Linked DNA regions of Arabidopsis thaliana. The protein of the gene in region 4 interacts with the protein of the main gene of each other region in a pairwise test. Each region holds a gene or a part of one and is shown on either strand. Other genes may lie near its edges.

The links.
Region 1: the proteins of DOG1 (region 4) and HAI2 interact in binary tests that used the Arabidopsis thaliana proteins (3 or more experiments, as listed by UniProt).
Region 2: the proteins of DOG1 (region 4) and DREB2A interact in binary tests that used the Arabidopsis thaliana proteins (3 or more experiments, as listed by UniProt).
Region 3: the proteins of DOG1 (region 4) and AHG1 interact in binary tests that used the Arabidopsis thaliana proteins (3 or more experiments, as listed by UniProt).

Annotation. Positions count from the first base shown.
Region 1 is NC_003070.9:2,280,110-2,284,524, forward strand, and holds HAI2 (highly ABA-induced PP2C protein 2), read right to left. Parts: upstream 2,720-4,415; 5' UTR 2,548-2,719; coding exon 2,044-2,547; intron 1,951-2,043; coding exon 1,639-1,950; intron 1,555-1,638; coding exon 1,042-1,554; 3' UTR 637-1,041; downstream 1-636. UniProt on the Arabidopsis thaliana protein: Involved in the negative regulation of the K(+) potassium channel AKT1 by its dephosphorylation, antagonistically to CIPK proteins (e.g. CIPK23). Functions as a positive regulator of abscisic acid-mediated cell signaling during seedling growth.
Region 2 is NC_003076.8:1,600,141-1,604,710, reverse strand, and holds DREB2A (DRE-binding protein 2A), read right to left. Parts: upstream 2,507-4,570; 5' UTR 2,342-2,506; intron 2,085-2,341; 5' UTR 2,062-2,084; coding exon 1,054-2,061; 3' UTR 672-1,053; downstream 1-671. Other genes in the region: AT5G05420 (FKBP-like peptidyl-prolyl cis-trans isomerase family protein), read left to right, coding at 1-61, 141-228, 318-359, 448-496, 593-671; AT5G05400 (LRR and NB-ARC domains-containing disease resistance protein), read left to right, coding at 4,342-4,570. UniProt on the Arabidopsis thaliana protein: Transcriptional activator that binds specifically to the DNA sequence 5'-[AG]CCGAC-3'. Binding to the C-repeat/DRE element mediates high salinity- and dehydration-inducible transcription.
Region 3 is NC_003076.8:21,025,082-21,029,719, reverse strand, and holds AHG1 (Protein phosphatase 2C family protein), read right to left. Parts: upstream 2,846-4,638; 5' UTR 2,805-2,845; coding exon 2,340-2,804; intron 2,274-2,339; coding exon 1,929-2,273; intron 1,863-1,928; coding exon 1,757-1,862; intron 1,143-1,756; coding exon 808-1,142; 3' UTR 532-807; downstream 1-531. UniProt on the Arabidopsis thaliana protein: Negative regulator of abscisic acid (ABA) responses during seed germination.
Region 4 is NC_003076.8:18,588,684-18,593,126, reverse strand, and holds DOG1 (delay of germination 1), read left to right. Parts: upstream 1-1,620; 5' UTR 1,621-1,630; coding exon 1,631-2,117; intron 2,118-2,471; coding exon 2,472-2,882; coding exon of another isoform or gene 2,883-2,911; exon of another isoform or gene 2,912-3,384; coding exon 3,385-3,458; 3' UTR 3,459-3,689; downstream 3,690-4,443.

The DNA.
Region 1 (4,415 bases), on a different chromosome or scaffold from region 4:
TTGCTTTCAGGTTGCTGCAACGCTCATGTGTCTTAGTTTATTATGTCTGACTAGAATTGCTGCTCGTGTGGCCTATTTGAAAAAACATATGGTACTTCAACTCAGTATGTGTTTAGGTTGGGCAATTAAAACATTTTGTATGGGTCATCTATTTGAAGCTTAATATATCCTTGTCTCATTTTTCTGTATCAAGTTTAGATGTTGCGCTACCAAATTTTTGGGTAGGTTATAGCCTTATAGGATTCAGATGAAAATATAATACCCCAAAATTCTCGGCCCAAATGCTTTGGGAGTGTTGGTTCGATTTTCCTTCTTAATAAAATTCTTACATTACATGACAGGTAAGTTAATTTTGATTTTCCATCAGACCAGTGATCATGTTTAGATAAAACAGTCTGATTAGGTTCATATTCAGATCTCAATCAATTACCCGACACCGACACCGACACGTACGAATGCGCATATTAACATATGCATCGTTCCGGTGTGTCACATCCTCTTTACGTGGTGTAGGGTTTCTACTTTTACCTCTTCGACACGTACTCCGTCCTCTTCCCAATTATCTTCTCTCTCTTTTCGTTTCCGTGAGATTTTGAATTTCTTCCAACACCAAAAAGGCCCACTCGTTTATAGAGATTTTAAAATCTTTATCAACAAACTGAAAATTCCCGGTGATGTTCTCAAAGATCACCACGCGTATCCGAGTTAATTGGTTTGCTTTAAAAGCCAAGAAAACATATACATACTTTTTTATTAATTGAATTCTGAACTGATTCCACCTAGACAGTGACACATTCCGGCTTCCTTTTCTGTTTGTTCATTACACACCGAAAAAAGGCAAGAAAAAAAGGTTCAGAACAAAAAAGACCCAACCATACCCGGTTTAACCGCTTTCAGTAAACCGGGGTTTTTTTTTTAGACCTAATGCTTTTTTTTTCTCTCTTTTGGGTTCAAAGATTTGAGCTACCTTCGTCCCAAGGTAAAAGAATCATTTTAAACAACACAAAAAACGGTGGAGTAAGAGTGATGAGGAGATTAGTGTCAAGCAACGTGTCTCTTTCTTCTTCTTCTGAGATCAATAACGACGACGCTTACGTTGTCACTACTGTGTTTTGCCAACGCCAGCTTCGTCAGCAATACTGACGCCTCCGTACATGCTTTGTCCGTGATCTCTCCTCTCTTCCCGTTCTTTCTTGACCCCACCACCTTCTCCTCTTCTTCTTTCCCTTCTTCTTCACTCCTCCTCCCCGGAGTCTGTGTTTCTCCTCGCCGTCTTCCACGACCACTTTTTCTGTTGAGACACATGCGCACCATCGTACACGCTGCCTCGTTCGTCACTACGTCCCATAGCCCGTCCGTCGCTAGAATCAGAAACTCATCTTCCTCAGTCCGATCCGTAACCGTCACTTCCGGCTCCGAAGTGACGTACGGTTTTAAATAATTGTCTCCTATGGCTCGTGACATGGCTAAAACGCCTAAGACTCTTGCACCGTCCCAGTATATCACTCGTCCTCCTGCTTCTTGGATTCGATCCAGCTCATCCGGACGATCAGGCTGTTCATTTTCAAACGTAAACAAGAGTTAAAATCCACTAAATCAAACAAATCAAGAAAGAGTTAGAAAGAGATAAAGACTGACCTTATGATCTGTAGAAAGAGGTACTGCTTTACCATTCCTACAAAGAACTGCTCTTGAGTCACCGCAATTCGCAACAATGATCTTCTCCGGCGTAATGACGGAGACAACGGCGGTGGATCCAACAGCGTCACAGTCCGGCGTTTGAAGCTCACACCTACAATTAGCACTCATCACAGTTTCACCCCAACGAACAACCTCTTTGTCCATACGTGTGAAGCTACGCTCCATCATCTTCTTCCATTCTTCTTTCTTATCCGACAACGCTTCTTCTTGCACTAACTCGTGAAGTCTCTCTTTACACCTAGCCGCAACCTACAAAAACGACATCGTATATTTCAATCAGGCAAAACCGTAAATATATCAATAATTTTGAAATTTTCAAATTAGGGTAAAACGGCGTCGTACGTGAGAACAGCCATGGCCGTCGTAAACACCAAAATAGTGCCATCTTGTTCGAGAAAACTCCGTTTGTTTCCGTACAAAAGACGGATGTAACGCAACCGCATCTTCCATATCTCTTCTTCTCCCGCACACCGATGCGACGCCGTATCTCGGCCTCAGATCCGTCTCTTTAACCGTCTTCTTCGACGGAATAACTGCAACATCATTAACCGATGAATTTCCATCGGAGATAGAGACGTCACTGTCTTCAAGTGATACACTCTCTTCTTCAGGAGAGCTTTGAGAAGGTGACGACGATGCACAGTTCATAAAATCGTACTCTTCTTGTTTATTTCGCTTATTATAAATCCCTTCAGATTTATCCTCCTCCTCCGTCGTCGACGCCGTGGGATTCATCTCCGACGGAGACATCCTGAATCGCTGGACACCGATCCTCCACTTCCGGCTAGACCACAACGGTCTTGATTCACAAGCCGACGTCTCGTCTTCATAACAAATATCCGCCATAACTCGATCGCCGCCTCTACTAAATATTCCGGTAACGAATCTTTTGAACGTCAATTAATTTCCGACGAAATATCTCTCTCCAAAATTTATTTTATGTTTATTACAAAAACAAAAAAAGAGTCGAATAGTGTTTCTTTTTTTTTTGGTTATACCACGCAGTTGAATAAATATCATCGTTACACGTTACAAAGCGTGCCCATTTATATACCCATGCGGCCTACCGCTTCATTAAACATTTTAAAATTCCTTTTTCTCTTCCTCGTTTTCAAATTACTTTTAACTTTTGATTTTTCTCCCTCCGCCTTCAAAAAATCTTTTACTCTAGCGACGTGACGTGTTGGTCTTTCGTCTAAATTAGAATCAATCTTGACCGTTGATCTGGTCACTATAGTATCTAGAAATGGACCACGTAAGCATCACGATCAGGTGGAGATATACGTGGCCCAATGACAAGGCAACAGAGGGGAGGAGGAAGTTCCTTTCGCGCCACGATTGTGGTCCACTTCTTTCTCAGGAAGACCTTTTTTGTCCAAATTGTCTCTGTGTCTCCCTTAAAGATAAAATATCTATCTAATCAACGATTTTTTAATTTTAAAGAATCCCATTACGTTAGTTAAATTTTTATTGTAGTTAACCTTAATTTGATCTAAATTAGGTCAACTTTTCAAGACTAACGAATTAAGTACGAAATTGTATACAGCGATTTTGCGATCATCTCATTAAAGAATTTATATACTGTGAACTAAAATTAGGTTACACTAAGACACGTACGTTAACTTTTCATATGAAAATTCTTTAGTTTTGTTTTTATGTAACCTTTAACATCATATTACGTTATTTCGGTTAACACTTAAAAGGTGCTTGGGAATTGTTTAGCTAAATCCTCTGTAGGCTGGTTTGGACTAAAATTTCTAACATATTAAGACCAGAGCTTTTTGTAGTGTTAAAAAAAAAAAAAAAAAATCTAACATCATAACTAATGATTTTGATATGAAAGCTTATGATATTTTTTACCAAAATATGCTTGTAATATTTTTGTCTTGTCGTGTTTAAAACATTTGCAAAGAAAGTGTACTAGTAATCTCATACCAAAATCATTTAATTGATATATAAAATAAAGTTATAACCATTTACCTAATTAAAAATGAAAGAAGTAGCGTGCATATATCCATAATTTTATCCGGATCTCCTATAAATTAATACATTGATTCGTTGCAGAAGTTAAGATTGAATTCAGAGTACTAATACATCATTTTTGAATCAGACCAAAAAGATTCTCAGCACTCAAAAGCATTGCGTTCAGCATTTAATAATAATTATAGTTAGAGTACGTACGGAGAGAAAGAAATTTAACTATAACGTATATAAGATTACAAATACAATCATGAATTTAAGTCCAAATCTGTCTCCATCAATTGGATTTGATATAAGCACCAGATCAGCTAGATTTCACGCAACTAAATCTCATCTGTTTAATTACCTGTAAAGCTGTAGTTACATTCATGATTACCTAAATAATCCTCGAGTAATTAAAAATTGAGGCCTCCCTAAAGTCACTATGAAGTAGAAAGTGAAAAATGAAAAAGCCGTACAGAGGACACGTAATTGTCTTGGAATGAGGAGTTATATTGTTAACCGTTAAAAGCCACAAAACAAAAATAAAAAGAAGATAGAAAAGGCTTTTTGGTGAAGCAGTGGCCCAACCATTTACCTCTACGTTTCTCCTTTGTTTCCATTCCGGCGAGTGGGTCTCACCTCCTTTATAACGGAATCTGAGGGCTCTCTTTTCCTCCACCGTACACGTGTTACCATCGTAGCTCTTATGTTTGGATATTTACCGACTACTGTTGCAGTGAAGTTAGGTCACT
Region 2 (4,570 bases), about 17 Mb from region 4:
CATTGTTGAAGAGTTATGCATGGGAAACCCCAACGGCAAGAAAGCTGAGCCTGGCAAAAGGGTATGAGCATTTAGTCCTAAACTGTTGTAGTTTGTGTGCAAATATTTGTTGGAGGTCAGTCTATTGTCTCTGAGTGCAGGTAAGTGTCCATTATACTGGAAAGCTTCAGGGGAATGGGAAGATTTTCGATTCCACCGTTGGAAAATCACGTTATAAGTTTCGTCTAGGTTGGTATTATAACTTGATGCGAAAGTAAGAGCTTTATTAATGTGTGAGTGGTACTTGGATACTTATGTGCTTGCTGTTACACATACAGATGCTGGAAAAGTCATTAAGGGATTGGATGTTGGCCTTAATGGTAACCTAGCTAGTTTCTTACTGGTTTTTCTTCACTAAATATGGTCAAATGGTGTGTTGTTTTGATCTCTTTTTGTAAATTTCTAAAGGAATGCTTGTTGGTGGCAAAAGAAAGCTTACAATTCCTCCAGAAATGGGGTAAAGCCTTTGCAAATCTTTTTTTATTTTTCCATAATGTGATGTTTTATTTTAAGCTTTTTTTAATGAGAGATGATAAAATTGTCTGGCTCACAGGTATGGTGCGGAAGGTGCTGGTAGCATTCCCCCTGACTCTTGGCTGGTCTTTGATGTCGAGCTGCTTAATGTTAAATAAAGCTGCCCTCTAATCCCTAGAGAACTTCCTAAGACTCAATCCAATGATGAGTTTTTTTGTGGAGATCGTATAGTTTTTCCTCTTACGATTTCAAATATTGTGAGACACACTAAGGCCCATAAAGCTTCACAAGTGTGTATTATTCATTCCTGTTGTTACAAAACATAAAACATATCTAAAGAACAACTTAAGAGAAGCAGACTAACAAACTATAGTTGTCTTCTCTATTGTCATATCACTGTTTCGATATATACAGTTCACCTTTATAACAAGAAAAAACGTGTTCTGTAGTTCTCTATATCACTAAAACTCGGATAGAGAATCAACAGTCGTTGTGGGATTAAGGCAAATATCAAATCCAAAAAGCTTCATATTGTTTTGTTTAGTTCTCCAGATCCAAGTAACTCAAGTCGTCGAAGAATCCATTACCATCCTTTCCCTCGAGCTGAAACGGAGGTATTCCGTAGTTGAGGCTTTGTAGCGGATCAAAACCACTTTGTTGACTCTCGGGCCTGTATGAACCGTTGGCAACACTGTTCCCCGGGTACCGGTCCTGATTTAAGCCTGCAAACACATCGTCGCCATTTAGGTCACGTAGAAGCTCATCGACATCAAACATGTCTGAAGAATCCAAGTGACTCTGATCCACATCATTGGGCCAACCATAGTCTGCAACAGATAGCGAATCCTGCTGTTGTTGCTGACAGGTTTCTACAATCCCTTGCTCCTTCTGTTTCTCTTTCTCTTTCAGAATATCACTCCAATAGTTATGTTCAAACTCGCTCAGCCAATGCTTATCCGCTTTAACACCTCTCTTCATCTCTTCCGCACCATTCTCCAGACAATACATCGGCTCCACTCCACCGGAGAAGGGTTTAGATTCACAATCTGGATCCTCTGTTTTCACATGAACACAACCAGGAGTCTCAACAGTACACACCTCAGACTGACTTGAGGTACTCGTAACCTCAGACGCATCAGACCGAGGGAAATTAAGACGAGCCAAAGGACCATACATAGCTTTAGCAGCCTCATCATAAGCAGAAGCAGCTTCTTGAGCAGTAGGGAAAGTACCAAGCCAAAGCCTGCTACCTCGATTAGGCTCTCTGATCTCAGCAACCCATTTACCCCAAATCCTTTGCCTAACTCCTCTGAAACTACATCGGCTATTCTCTGGTCCTCCTTTACCTTTCATACAACCCTTCTTCGACCCTTTCGCAGGTACTTTCCTCTTCTTGGTAGAAACTTCTTCTACGGTCTCGTTATACTCTTTCCATCTCTTTAATCTCTCAGCCACAGTAGTACCGTCACCTCTACTTCTAGATTTCCTTTTCCTCGATGTATCAATTTGTGTTCTGTTTCTATCTCCACTCTGATCATAAACTGCCATCTCCTTCCCAGAAACAACACAATCTACAATACAACAACACTTCAATATCAGAACACAAGCTGAAACATAAGGCAAGAGAACTTAAACTTGGTTCAAAATCAGATCGATTTACTTATTTGTTATCAAATTAGGAACACCTAAAATTTCCCAATTTCACAGCTATACCTAAAAGGAAATAATCGAAAACCTAAAGACGAAGATAAACCCTAGAATCACCAATTGACGAGACCTAATCAGAGAAATTAATTGAAAATTTGTAAGAAATCAGAAATCAACGTACCTATAGGGGACGAAATTTGAAAATCAAAGTCTCTTCCTTCGAGTTGATAAATCGCTTTCGTGTTTAGTCTTCTTGCTCGTATCTTTTCTTCTTCTTCTTGTGTGTAGCTTTTTCGAGTTTTCCTCTTCTTTTTATCAGACAGCTTTAGCAGAAATCAAAATATCTAAGGAAGACAAAGTATCTACGGAGTATTTATAGCCTTCTCTAGATTTTTCTAACATTATTTTATTTTTCTGTTTGAGAGCAAGGTTACGTGTCAGTTTTTGATTCGAACATAAAGGCTTAGACGACTTTTCCGTTCGACGAGTGTCCTCCCGAATCTTCTCGAAACACGCTGTTGATACGGAAAAGTAAAGTTTAAACCTTTTTAAAATTGATTTATGGATAAGATCATAAAACTACTTCATTATTTAAATATTATGAAATTTTAAAATATCTTCATTTTTTTTTTATTAACCCTGACAACACAACACTGTCTCATCTGCTCTTTCTCGATTTTTCTTGGTTTATTGCCAGTTTGCCACTGCATCACACTTACTAGATGTGTAATTGGATGATGATGTTTATTGCCTGTTTTTCTAGTTTTTACAAACGTGCACATTATTCAATTTTGTTTTGATGAGATACTTATCGTTTATATAGATATTTTTAAAAAGATCACGGTTAATATTGTAAAATTAAAGGTTTCCGGTGTACGTACGACATAGAGCGAATTCATAAATGTGTCAGCCAGAAATGTCTTAAACATGAAGTATTAGTTTAAAGTTTAAGCATTAAGTATTAGCTAGAGACGTGTCAAATGGTGAAGCTCAAACTTGGGTGGCTTAGCTTCGAGCAGAGGTGATAGGGTCCATTACCTTATAAAATTTGGGAATCGCAAGTTGTAGCAAAGCAGCAGTCATTTATAGCCTTTGCATGTGCCTCATGTGTCCTTTGCTAACCAAAGCCACTTCATCCACTACGTGTCTCTAACGGCATCGCTAACGTAAGCTCACGCAATTGCCTACGTACTTCAACCTCATGGGCCTTAGTTACTTAACATCCATTATCAAACCCATTGCCTACGTGATACAATCCCATGTGCCTCAGTTAATTAACATCCATTATCAAACCCTTAAAGCCCGTTAATCTAAATTAGCCCATTGGATGGGTGTCGTCCATTTTATTTCTACCGTCGGTGTTGCTACTATCTCGCTATCTCAAGCACGATCGGGTGAGCATCTTCTAGTCTAGTCGATTGAGCCTACAAGTTTCTATCTTCTGGATCTATATGAAATTTCAGTTTGTTTGTTTTTTTTTTCGCTGAAGAGAAATTTCAGTTTTTATTGGTCTAAATAAGGCATGAATTTGGAAATCTGTATCTACGAGTTGGTTTCTTCGCTGTAATGCTTGTTTGTTTTTGGTTTAGTGAACAACATTTGGATGATAAATTATTTGTGCGGAAAAAGCTGCAAGATGATGCCATGATGGCAACACTAATTTTGTTGCTGACTGTAGACTCTCTTTTCTTCGACGACCGTGAGAAGAGCTCTGTAAGTTTGGCTTCTTTCTTTCCATATTAGTATGAATAGGTTATTCGCGTGGCTATGAATCATTCAGCATTGTCTAAGGCCTAGGATCGATAGGGAGGAACGCATTCATTACAATGATTTAGGTTATCGATTACAAAACCATTATTGGAAAACGAGATGTAAGTAAAATGTTGACTTGGCTTGGCCAAACCACGTTAGAATTGTGTTAAGAAAAAACGAGCACATAGTGCTCACTAAACTTGGCTCTGTTAACATCCCAAGGGTCGTTGACCTTATGAAAAAAATGTTATCTTGGTTACAGTTCATTTTTAAAATAACATAAATATTTGATCGAGTCGTAGATGACTGGATGCCAAGATTGGTGGTCAACCCGAATGATCGTGCACACACCTCAGTTAATAAACTAAAACATTAGGAAAGGAATTTGTATATTAATCTCTCTGGTAGGAATTTGAGAATCTATGAGAGATGGGAGCCTGCTTCTCTGTGGCAATATCCTGTGACCAGGCTGTTAATAACCTTACAAGCTGCCTTAGCAGGAACCAAAATCGCTTCCGCAACCTCGTAGATCATGTAGCGGCTCTAAAGAAAACTGTACGACAGTTGGAGGCAAGACGAGATGATTTGTTGAAAAGGATTAAGGTACAAGAAGATAGAGGTCTAAACCTATTGGATGAAGTCCAACAATGGCTTTCTG
Region 3 (4,638 bases), 2.4 Mb from region 4:
GATTCTTGATCTCCCTTTTATTTAGGACCAAAACTCTGTATTCGTCAAACCTGTTCGAATTGTTCCATTTCCATCGAACTATAAGAGTTGTCTTTTTGTCTCTCTTTCTTGAATTGTTCTCTTTGATTCTTTTGCACATCTCTTTTTTTTTTCCTTTAAAGCCTAAAGAGTAAAGACAATCTGGTAATTGGCCCAAAAGCCTATATAGCATTGTTGAACCAAATATAAAACTGCACGGTTGAGTAGGGTTAGGGCTGGTTCAAAATCTCAGCCTTAAATTCACTTCATTCAGGTTGTACCAAAATGTAAGTATTTGTAGACAGAGATGACTTTAACCATTGGAAATGATCAGTCCATCAAAAAAATATAAAAGACCAAGACCGGCGTCTAATGAACTACAACGAACAAAACCAAAGCAGTACTACGTTTTTATTTTATCTATTTATTTCACACATACCACCTAAATAGCTAAACGATCAATAACTTCAAAATGATCACACACATACAACAAACAAAATTAGAGAACAAATTCTCTCAAGTTAACTTTTATTTTATTGTTTAAACCACTAAATACCCTTAATAGCCCATGGCCAAACCACTAAATAACCTTGTAGCCCATATCCAAACAACTCTCTTTTCCTTTCACATTCGCCGGTGTTAATGTGTATTGGTAACCCCAATTCATAACAAAACAAAGACGGGCGCTAAACCCTAAAACTAATTAAGGCTCATCGCTATATCAACATCTTATTCTTTGGTTTAACCACTTAATTGCACAACCACCAAAAAAAGGATCCAAAACTAGTTTTACTGAGAGCTATTCTTGAGATCAATGACGACCACACTTATATTATCACTGCTTTGTCTACCCAAAGCCAACCGCGTTAGCAACGTTGCAGCCAATACACTCCTTGAAGGATTTTGTTCTCCGTCATTGTCGTCTTCTTGAGCCATTCTATTTAAATCAAGGCTCGAGGGAGTTTCTTCGCGGAGACAAAACCTAGCTATGTCACAAGCTAGCTGACTCGAGAGTACATCCCAAAGCCCATCGCTTGCTAATACTAAGCATTCATCTCCAGATTCCCTTCTCATGAATGTTACTTCTGGTTCCCATGCTACCATTGGTTTTAGATACCTGTCCCCTGCTCCATGAATTGTAACACAACATTAGGAACAATTTCCATACTAAAACTTCATGTTTAGTCTAATAAATTGTATAACCGAAATAAATTTTAAGTTGGTTAAATGATCAAACAATGAAAGATACAAAGATAAGACACATTTAAATACTTTTGAAGTTAAGAAAAATACTTCTCCCGTTCTAATCCATGAGATGGTTTGTATGAATGCCCACATTTTTTATTTTCGTAAAATGATTCAATTATTTTTGTTTTCTAGTTAATGCTGCAAATATAATTTTTTTTGTTTTTTTTTTTTTTTGTCAAATGTTAAACTATTAGGACCAATGTAAAATTTCTAGTTAACATTTTGACAAAAAAAAGAGAGTAAAATTTACATATTTTTTTTTTAAAGGAACAATTATAAAACATCTTTGAAAATAGAATTAGAATTAATCAACAAAAGAACTCGCACCAAATGAAACCAATCCATAGTACCTTAGTTAGTAAACTTAAAACCCTAAACCCCAAATCCGAAATGATTATTATTGCCCTTATAGGCTCTAGTTCCTTGCCATCTTCAACACTATCAACTAAAATCATCTTTTACTACAATATGAGAATTGAGAAAGGTATACCTATGGCTCTGGACGTGGCTAGAATTCCTTCAACTCTAGCTCCATCCACTACTAAAACTCGACCACCAGCTGCTTCAATCCTCGCACGCTCGTCTGGTCTATCCGGCTGCAAAAAACTCAACAACTTCAAAATAGAAACTCCAATATTCTCAAACCTTTACAAGAACACCACCTTGTGATCGTTACTCAGAGGAATAGCCATTCCATTTCGACACAACACCGCACGTGAGTCACCAGTATTGGCTACAATAATATGATCGTGCGTCAAAACCGCAGTGACCGCCGTTGAACCCGAAATCGCAGCCTCCCTCGGATCACAGTTACACAACGGCACACTAGTCCCACACACGCATGTACTCGTTGCCATCTCATCCATCCTCTTGAAACTCCGTTTCATCACGCCCCGCCATTTCCTCTCCACGACATCGTTTTCGCTTCCTTCTTCCTCCTCTTCGAGGTTTTGCTCTAGCTCCTCCTTGACAAACGTGTGCATAGTCGTGCTGCACAATGTTGACACCTGTCCACGCATCACATCAGCATCTTTATATTAAATGACCAAACCACCCCTGGTTAATTTTCTTACCTGAGAACCGCCGTGGCCATCGTATACCGCAAAGAAATGAACCGGTCTTTGCCGGTTAACTTCCGGTTTGCACAAATTCGGTTTAACAGTAACCGAATCCTCCATCTTACGAGATCTTCCCATAACCGAAACTATACCGTACAACGGCTCATCCTCCGTTTCTTCTCCCTTCCACACCGGCGCTTCCGATTTTTGGCAAGAAGATGCCGCCGGAGGTGCCAAAAAGCCCCCGATATCCGCCGGAAGACCACCGATCTCTGACCTCCGAGCTTGTTTCCTCAATGGAACGTCAAAACTTGAGTAAACTTCCATGTCCGTCCGATCACGATTCCTAGACGAACTAGGTTCGCCGAAAACCGCCGCTTGTCTCCGCATCTCAATTCTCCGACGACGACGTTCACGGCATTTAGTCGGAGAAACGTCGTCTCCACGTCCGGTTGAAATTGTTCTGTAGATTTCAGTCATCTTTTCAAAATTCGTTTCGGTGGATCAAGAGAGCACCGCTTTATATACATGGGGCCGAGAGAAAGAGAGAACACTTTGAACATAAAGAAGCTTACGAGGAAGACAGAACACGTGTCGGTGTTTCGATGTATTCGCGTGTTAGGCTCAGGTGTTAAGTTGTTGTCCACGTGGAGACGCCTTCGGTTTTTGTTAAACCGCATCCGGTTTTGGGTTCATGACGATAGTCGTTTAGCTAGGCTCTTGTGTCTTAACTCCTTTCTTCTTCTCCTTGCTTGAATTTGAACCCATGAGCCGGAGCTGATCTCTCAAACCATGTGAACTACAAGGATCAGGCTGGTTCTGGACTAATTCATCAAATATTATAGAAAATGAAAAACTCATGATATACGAAATATTGCATCTTGTTTCCTTTTGCTTTCAATATGAAAACATTAATGTCAAAACAATGACTATAAATGTAACAATATTGAAAAGGTTTATATCAATTTTCTTATTTTTAAAAAGAATTAAATTTTGAAAACCATCTTTTTGAAAAGTGAAAACAAACAATTTCTACTATATTAAATCTGGAATAACATTTACTGATCGTTCCAAATCTCGAGTAGTATTTTCTATAAAACCTGAACGGTAAGTATACTTAAACCAAATCATGGGATTAACCATAACGTTGGAGATATCTTCGGAGAAAAAGGTTGACGAATCGTCAATCGTCACTAGTCACTCTTTTTCGGTGCAACACATGTCACATAGTGATCATCTACAACTTCTCGATTCCTCAGGTTGAGCGACTTGTACCAATTAAACACGTAGCATAGTTATGCCAGTTTAGTCCATCAGTGCCATATGCCTTTTATTCTTTATTTGGTTTCCTACAAATGAAGAAAAACGGCGATATATGTATATTTTATGCTAACAGATTTGATTTGTAATTAATGTCTACTCAAATAAGCAACTGTACAAGATACAAAGAATCATATCATTATTTATTCAAATACTCAAGATCTACGAAAACCGTAATAAATGTTTACAAACTGTCTTTGAAATATATTAAAGTGGGTGAACTGAAATATGTGGATCGATCAATCCTAATATTTTGCTATATTGATGAGAATTAATACGAGTCGAATAGATCATAACAGTTAGGGTGGTTCTCTCTACATGAATGATATGGTTTAGCTAAAAACTAAAACAAACAAAATATTAAGCTAATATAAATGTGTAAGTTATCTAAAAGGAAGATAATAATGAAAAAGCTTGTCTAAAATTCTTAAAAAATGATTCAAACACACTTTACCTTAAATTTGTGATTAGTTGGGACTGGGATATAGTTTTAATCATTGGTGGGTTGGGTGGTTAGTTTTAGGTTTTAATGATTGAAAACTTAACTTGCCGATATAGTGATTTTGTTTTTTTTTTTATGTGAAGAAAATAAAAACTAGTGAGCTTAATTTCAATCCCTGGCTGTTTTAGTAGGTTATTATATATAAACCATATATGATAGAAATGTTATCTTCGTACATCAATGTTTGTTTAAATTGTTTATTCAGTTTTTTATGATCTTCTTGCGGAAATTTGGTTTAATAATTTTGCGTGTGGTTAGAATTACTATATGAAGGGAAGTTGCTTACCAAAAATCCTATGATCAATTCAGAAAAAGTTGGAAAATAATGAGAAAGAATAGTGTTTGTAGTGAAAATACTTTGTGTGGGGTCCAAATCTCCTGCAAAAAGAAACTAATGTGTAGAAGCATGCATGGAAACACCAATAAATTTTTCTGAAGACTCTATGGCACTAAAGTCAGTTAATTTGATCACCAAATATGACTGAAAACTAT
Region 4 (4,443 bases):
TAACGACAACCGTGACATACTTTTTCATTAAGCACGTTACACGACGAGACTAGCGTAGTACGTGTCGAACTATCCTCATACGTGTTTGATTCACTGCTATAAATAGAACCAATAATAACGATGTTAATATTTGGTTCTTAATCAAGATATTGTGGACCGCTTGTCCATAATTCCCTCGGAAAACCAAAACAGGTATTATATTCAAGATTCGACCTCGTGATTTTGAGGTGCATTATTTTTTGTAGAAGATTTCCATCTTCTTTTTTTCACGGCTCTCAAAGGTTTCCTTGTACACAAGTTACACTACACTGAATAATTTTCTTTATTGCATCCTTTAAACAAACTTTTGTATATTATTTTGATATTGAAATCCACCATATATATGTCTTTTTTTCTCTGTCGCTTCCTATTTGATGCATGTGAATAATTTTCACTACTATATAACCAGTTTTCTAATCATTTTCTCCGTAGTAAAAGACAAAAGTAAATTAACGAAGCTCGTTATAATAATTTAGTACTTACCAAAAAACGTCCAAAAGTTGGAGATAACTCGTTTCCAAGATATTCTACACCTCTTCTTAAGTCTCTGATCCCCAAAGAATAATAATTATTTATACGAAAATATATATAAATATAACATACTGTACAATCCGCTGTCTCAGGACATCCAAAAAAATCATTTATATCAGTAACAAAAAAAACATATCGTGAATATTAAAAAATCATCAAATAAGTGATACCAATGAATTAGTTGTTAACCACAGTGATTTAAAAGACTGATATTTTAATTGATGAATCCTAGGAATGAAAAGTTGATAATTGTATGATCTAATCTCCAATTTCTTTCCTCTTTAAAGAGGTAAAATTGCCACATGGAACATTTAACACCATTCTGAATTTCTGATTCCAGGAACGTTGTCGTATCATATCTACTCGTGTAAGTCTTAGATCGATTTAGAACTTAGAAGAACAACACTTCTTGTTTTATCCTAATTAATACTATAATATATGCATGTAAAATCTTGTTTTTTCTATATCGGGTCAATGTGAATTGATATATTAGTTTGTGAGTGTGTCGGCTTCCGTAACTTACAGGAAGGGTTTTTACTTTTCTTTTTCAGATAATTAATGAAGAAGAAGAAAATACAACCAAATTTACACAAAAATAATGGCAAATTAAACTATTTTGGAACAACAACTCGCACTCTCTATTAGTCCTCCACGTAATGCATGCATGCGTTATTTCTTTTATTTCCTCGGAAAGCACGTACTAATCTTCCAACTTTCAATACTAATACTCGTTTTAATATGTGTCCAAGTAAACATTTTCTGTCCAAGTTCATTTTCAACTTTTGAGTTGTCAATGTTTCTATTTTTCCTCTTTATTTTTGACATTTGTCATTGTTTCCCTATATTAAATTTAAACGATAATAATTTGGTTCGGTTAATATAACGCTACTAAATATATATTTAGAAGAAAATTTAATTGTTTAATCATAATTCAGTTTATTCGACATTTTTATCCATAAGTATTATAATGTATAGTATTATTTTTAGAGATAATCATTAATCAGAGAATAAAATATAATTCTGGTCCATTTAACTTTTAACTATATATAAACCCAATGAAATGAAAACAAAAACACACAAAACACAAACACGCAAACCAAAAGAGATCAAACCAATAATCAAAATACTCCTCATTATATCAGAAAAAAAAAAAAAAATGGGATCTTCATCAAAGAACATCGAACAAGCTCAAGATTCTTATCTCGAGTGGATGAGTTTGCAATCTCAACGCATCCCTGAGCTCAAACAACTCTTAGCTCAACGACGATCTCACGGTGATGAAGATAATGATAACAAGCTTCGTAAGTTAACGGGAAAAATCATCGGTGATTTCAAAAATTACGCCGCAAAAAGAGCTGATCTTGCTCACCGATGTAGCTCGAACTATTATGCACCCACGTGGAACAGTCCTTTAGAGAACGCTCTAATTTGGATGGGTGGTTGTCGACCATCTTCTTTCTTTAGGCTCGTTTATGCTTTGTGTGGGTCACAAACTGAGATCCGTGTGACTCAGTTTCTCCGCAACATCGACGGCTACGAATCTTCAGGTAAGGGTTTGGACGTTTTCGGTTATTTCGGTTTTGAGGAATAAAAAAATAGACTAAATTTAATTTTTTGGTTCGGTAGTCAGTACGGTGCGGCAAAAAATTTTATTGTCTTCCTTCCGATTTCTAAAATTTATTTATTCTGTTCATTTTGCTTATGACAAAAATAATAGATTCTTAGGTTTTATATTAAGTTGGGTTCGGTTTGAATTTGGAATTTGTTCAGTTCTATATATTATACAAATATATTATTATTTTTAAATAAAATTAATCATAAAAAATGATTCCGAACCATAGATCTATACCAAAATTCTAATGGTTTCGGTTCGGTTGGTTCAATATGGTTTGGTTTGACAGGTGGTGGCGGCGGTGCATCACTTAGCGACTTAAGTGCGGAGCAGCTAGCTAAAATCAATGTGTTGCATGTAAAAATTATAGACGAAGAAGAGAAGATGACCAAGAAAGTCTCAAGCCTACAAGAAGACGCAGCGGATATTCCCATCGCCACTGTGGCTTACGAGATGGAGAATGTCGGAGAGCCTAACGTAGTGGTGGATCAAGCTCTCGACAAGCAAGAAGAAGCTATGGCTCGTTTATTGGTCGAGGCCGATAATCTAAGGGTTGATACTTTAGCGAAGATCCTCGGGATTCTATCTCCGGTACAAGGAGCGGATTTCTTGCTCGCTGGGAAAAAGCTTCATCTTTCGATGCATGAGTGGGGAACTATGAGAGATCGTCGCCGTCGTGACTGTATGGTTGACACCGAAGGTAATGCCGGAGGAGAGGAAGGAAAGTAGTCGTTATTATATTAGATATGATACTATAGGTACGTACGTGTCATATTTAAAATTGCATAATAACAAGGTTTTCAATCTTGATATTATAAAGTTATATATTTGGCATATATTCTAGGGATATATAACCCGTATGTGTGTTACTTTTATTTTCTGAAGACTTATGGTAGCAAGGTGCAATGCGTTATGTTAGTTTATATTATAAATAATTAAGATTTTGCTTTGTATAAGATGGATCTTTTGTTTTTTATTAAATGCAGAAATATAGTTTTATATATAATCTTATATAATAATTATTGTTTCGTTATAAGATTGTAGTTTGTAAGGATAAAAAATAACCTTTTTTTTGGTTAATGGATAAGAAATCATTTATAAGTTACATTTTGATGTTTTAAATTTTATCACTTATCGAAGATATATTTGAATTATTCTATTTTTTATAGTTTATTCACGTCGTGGCATTTTGCGAAATACAGTAATATTCGATGCATGTACAACTGTGAATAGTGGCCCACGCCCCACGGAGACGACAAATAATGAGAGAAATTGAGATTTGTGTGTTTACGTGGCAGCAACATGATCTCGTCTCGACAAGTCAGCTAGGAGATTTTTATCCAAGATTGCATTGGATTTTTATATTCTTAGATTTTTCCATTATTATTTTGTGTGGTAGGGAATATTCATAAAGAAAATTGTGGAGTATCTAAATAAATTGTTGGAAGCATCCTTTTTTTTTCATTGAACGCATCCTTTTTTTTTATGGACTTGGCAGATTTGGTAAAAATAAGAGTTCTAGTTTCGAAAATTCAACTGTATCTATATTAACTTAATTTATATCAAACTTAACTCATTAAACCTAACCAAGCTCTATACTTGAGATAAGATTCCACAACATTTCAAGTATTCATAGTGGTGAAATGTACTATAGGGTTAAAGTTTGGATCGCGATTAGTAAGCTCTTTAACTTTAAAATAACATTAAACCTAAGTAACCACTTCATGGTGGAATAATGTTTACATGATTCATTCTATAAATTGATTTGAGTCTCTTCAATGCGATTTGATAACTTAAAATATCTTAATCGCCAAGAATACTAGTTTTTCTACAGATAGCAAGAGATCAAATCTAATCATTCAAATGAAAATAACACTCTAAAACCTACAAAAACACTTCTTATAACTGTAAAAATATATTGCAATCTACCTAGATGACACAATTCTAGATGCCCCCATGAACATGATCAACTTTTCTATGTTTCATATTTATTTATTCCTCAGTGATTGCCTCCCTGGGTTTGTAGTGGGTCGGGCCGAGTAAAAATTGGCCGATGTTAACAATCATATCCATATCTGTATTTGCAACTCCAAGATTTATCCTCCACTTATTTTCGTATCATGACATTTTATGCGACAACTCTTATTTTGAATCATGATTCTTAAGATTTACAGACAGGACCGGCATTGAAGTCCACATATATTTGTAATTACAAAATCTATTATATACACACACAAAAATCTGGGATATTCTAATATTTA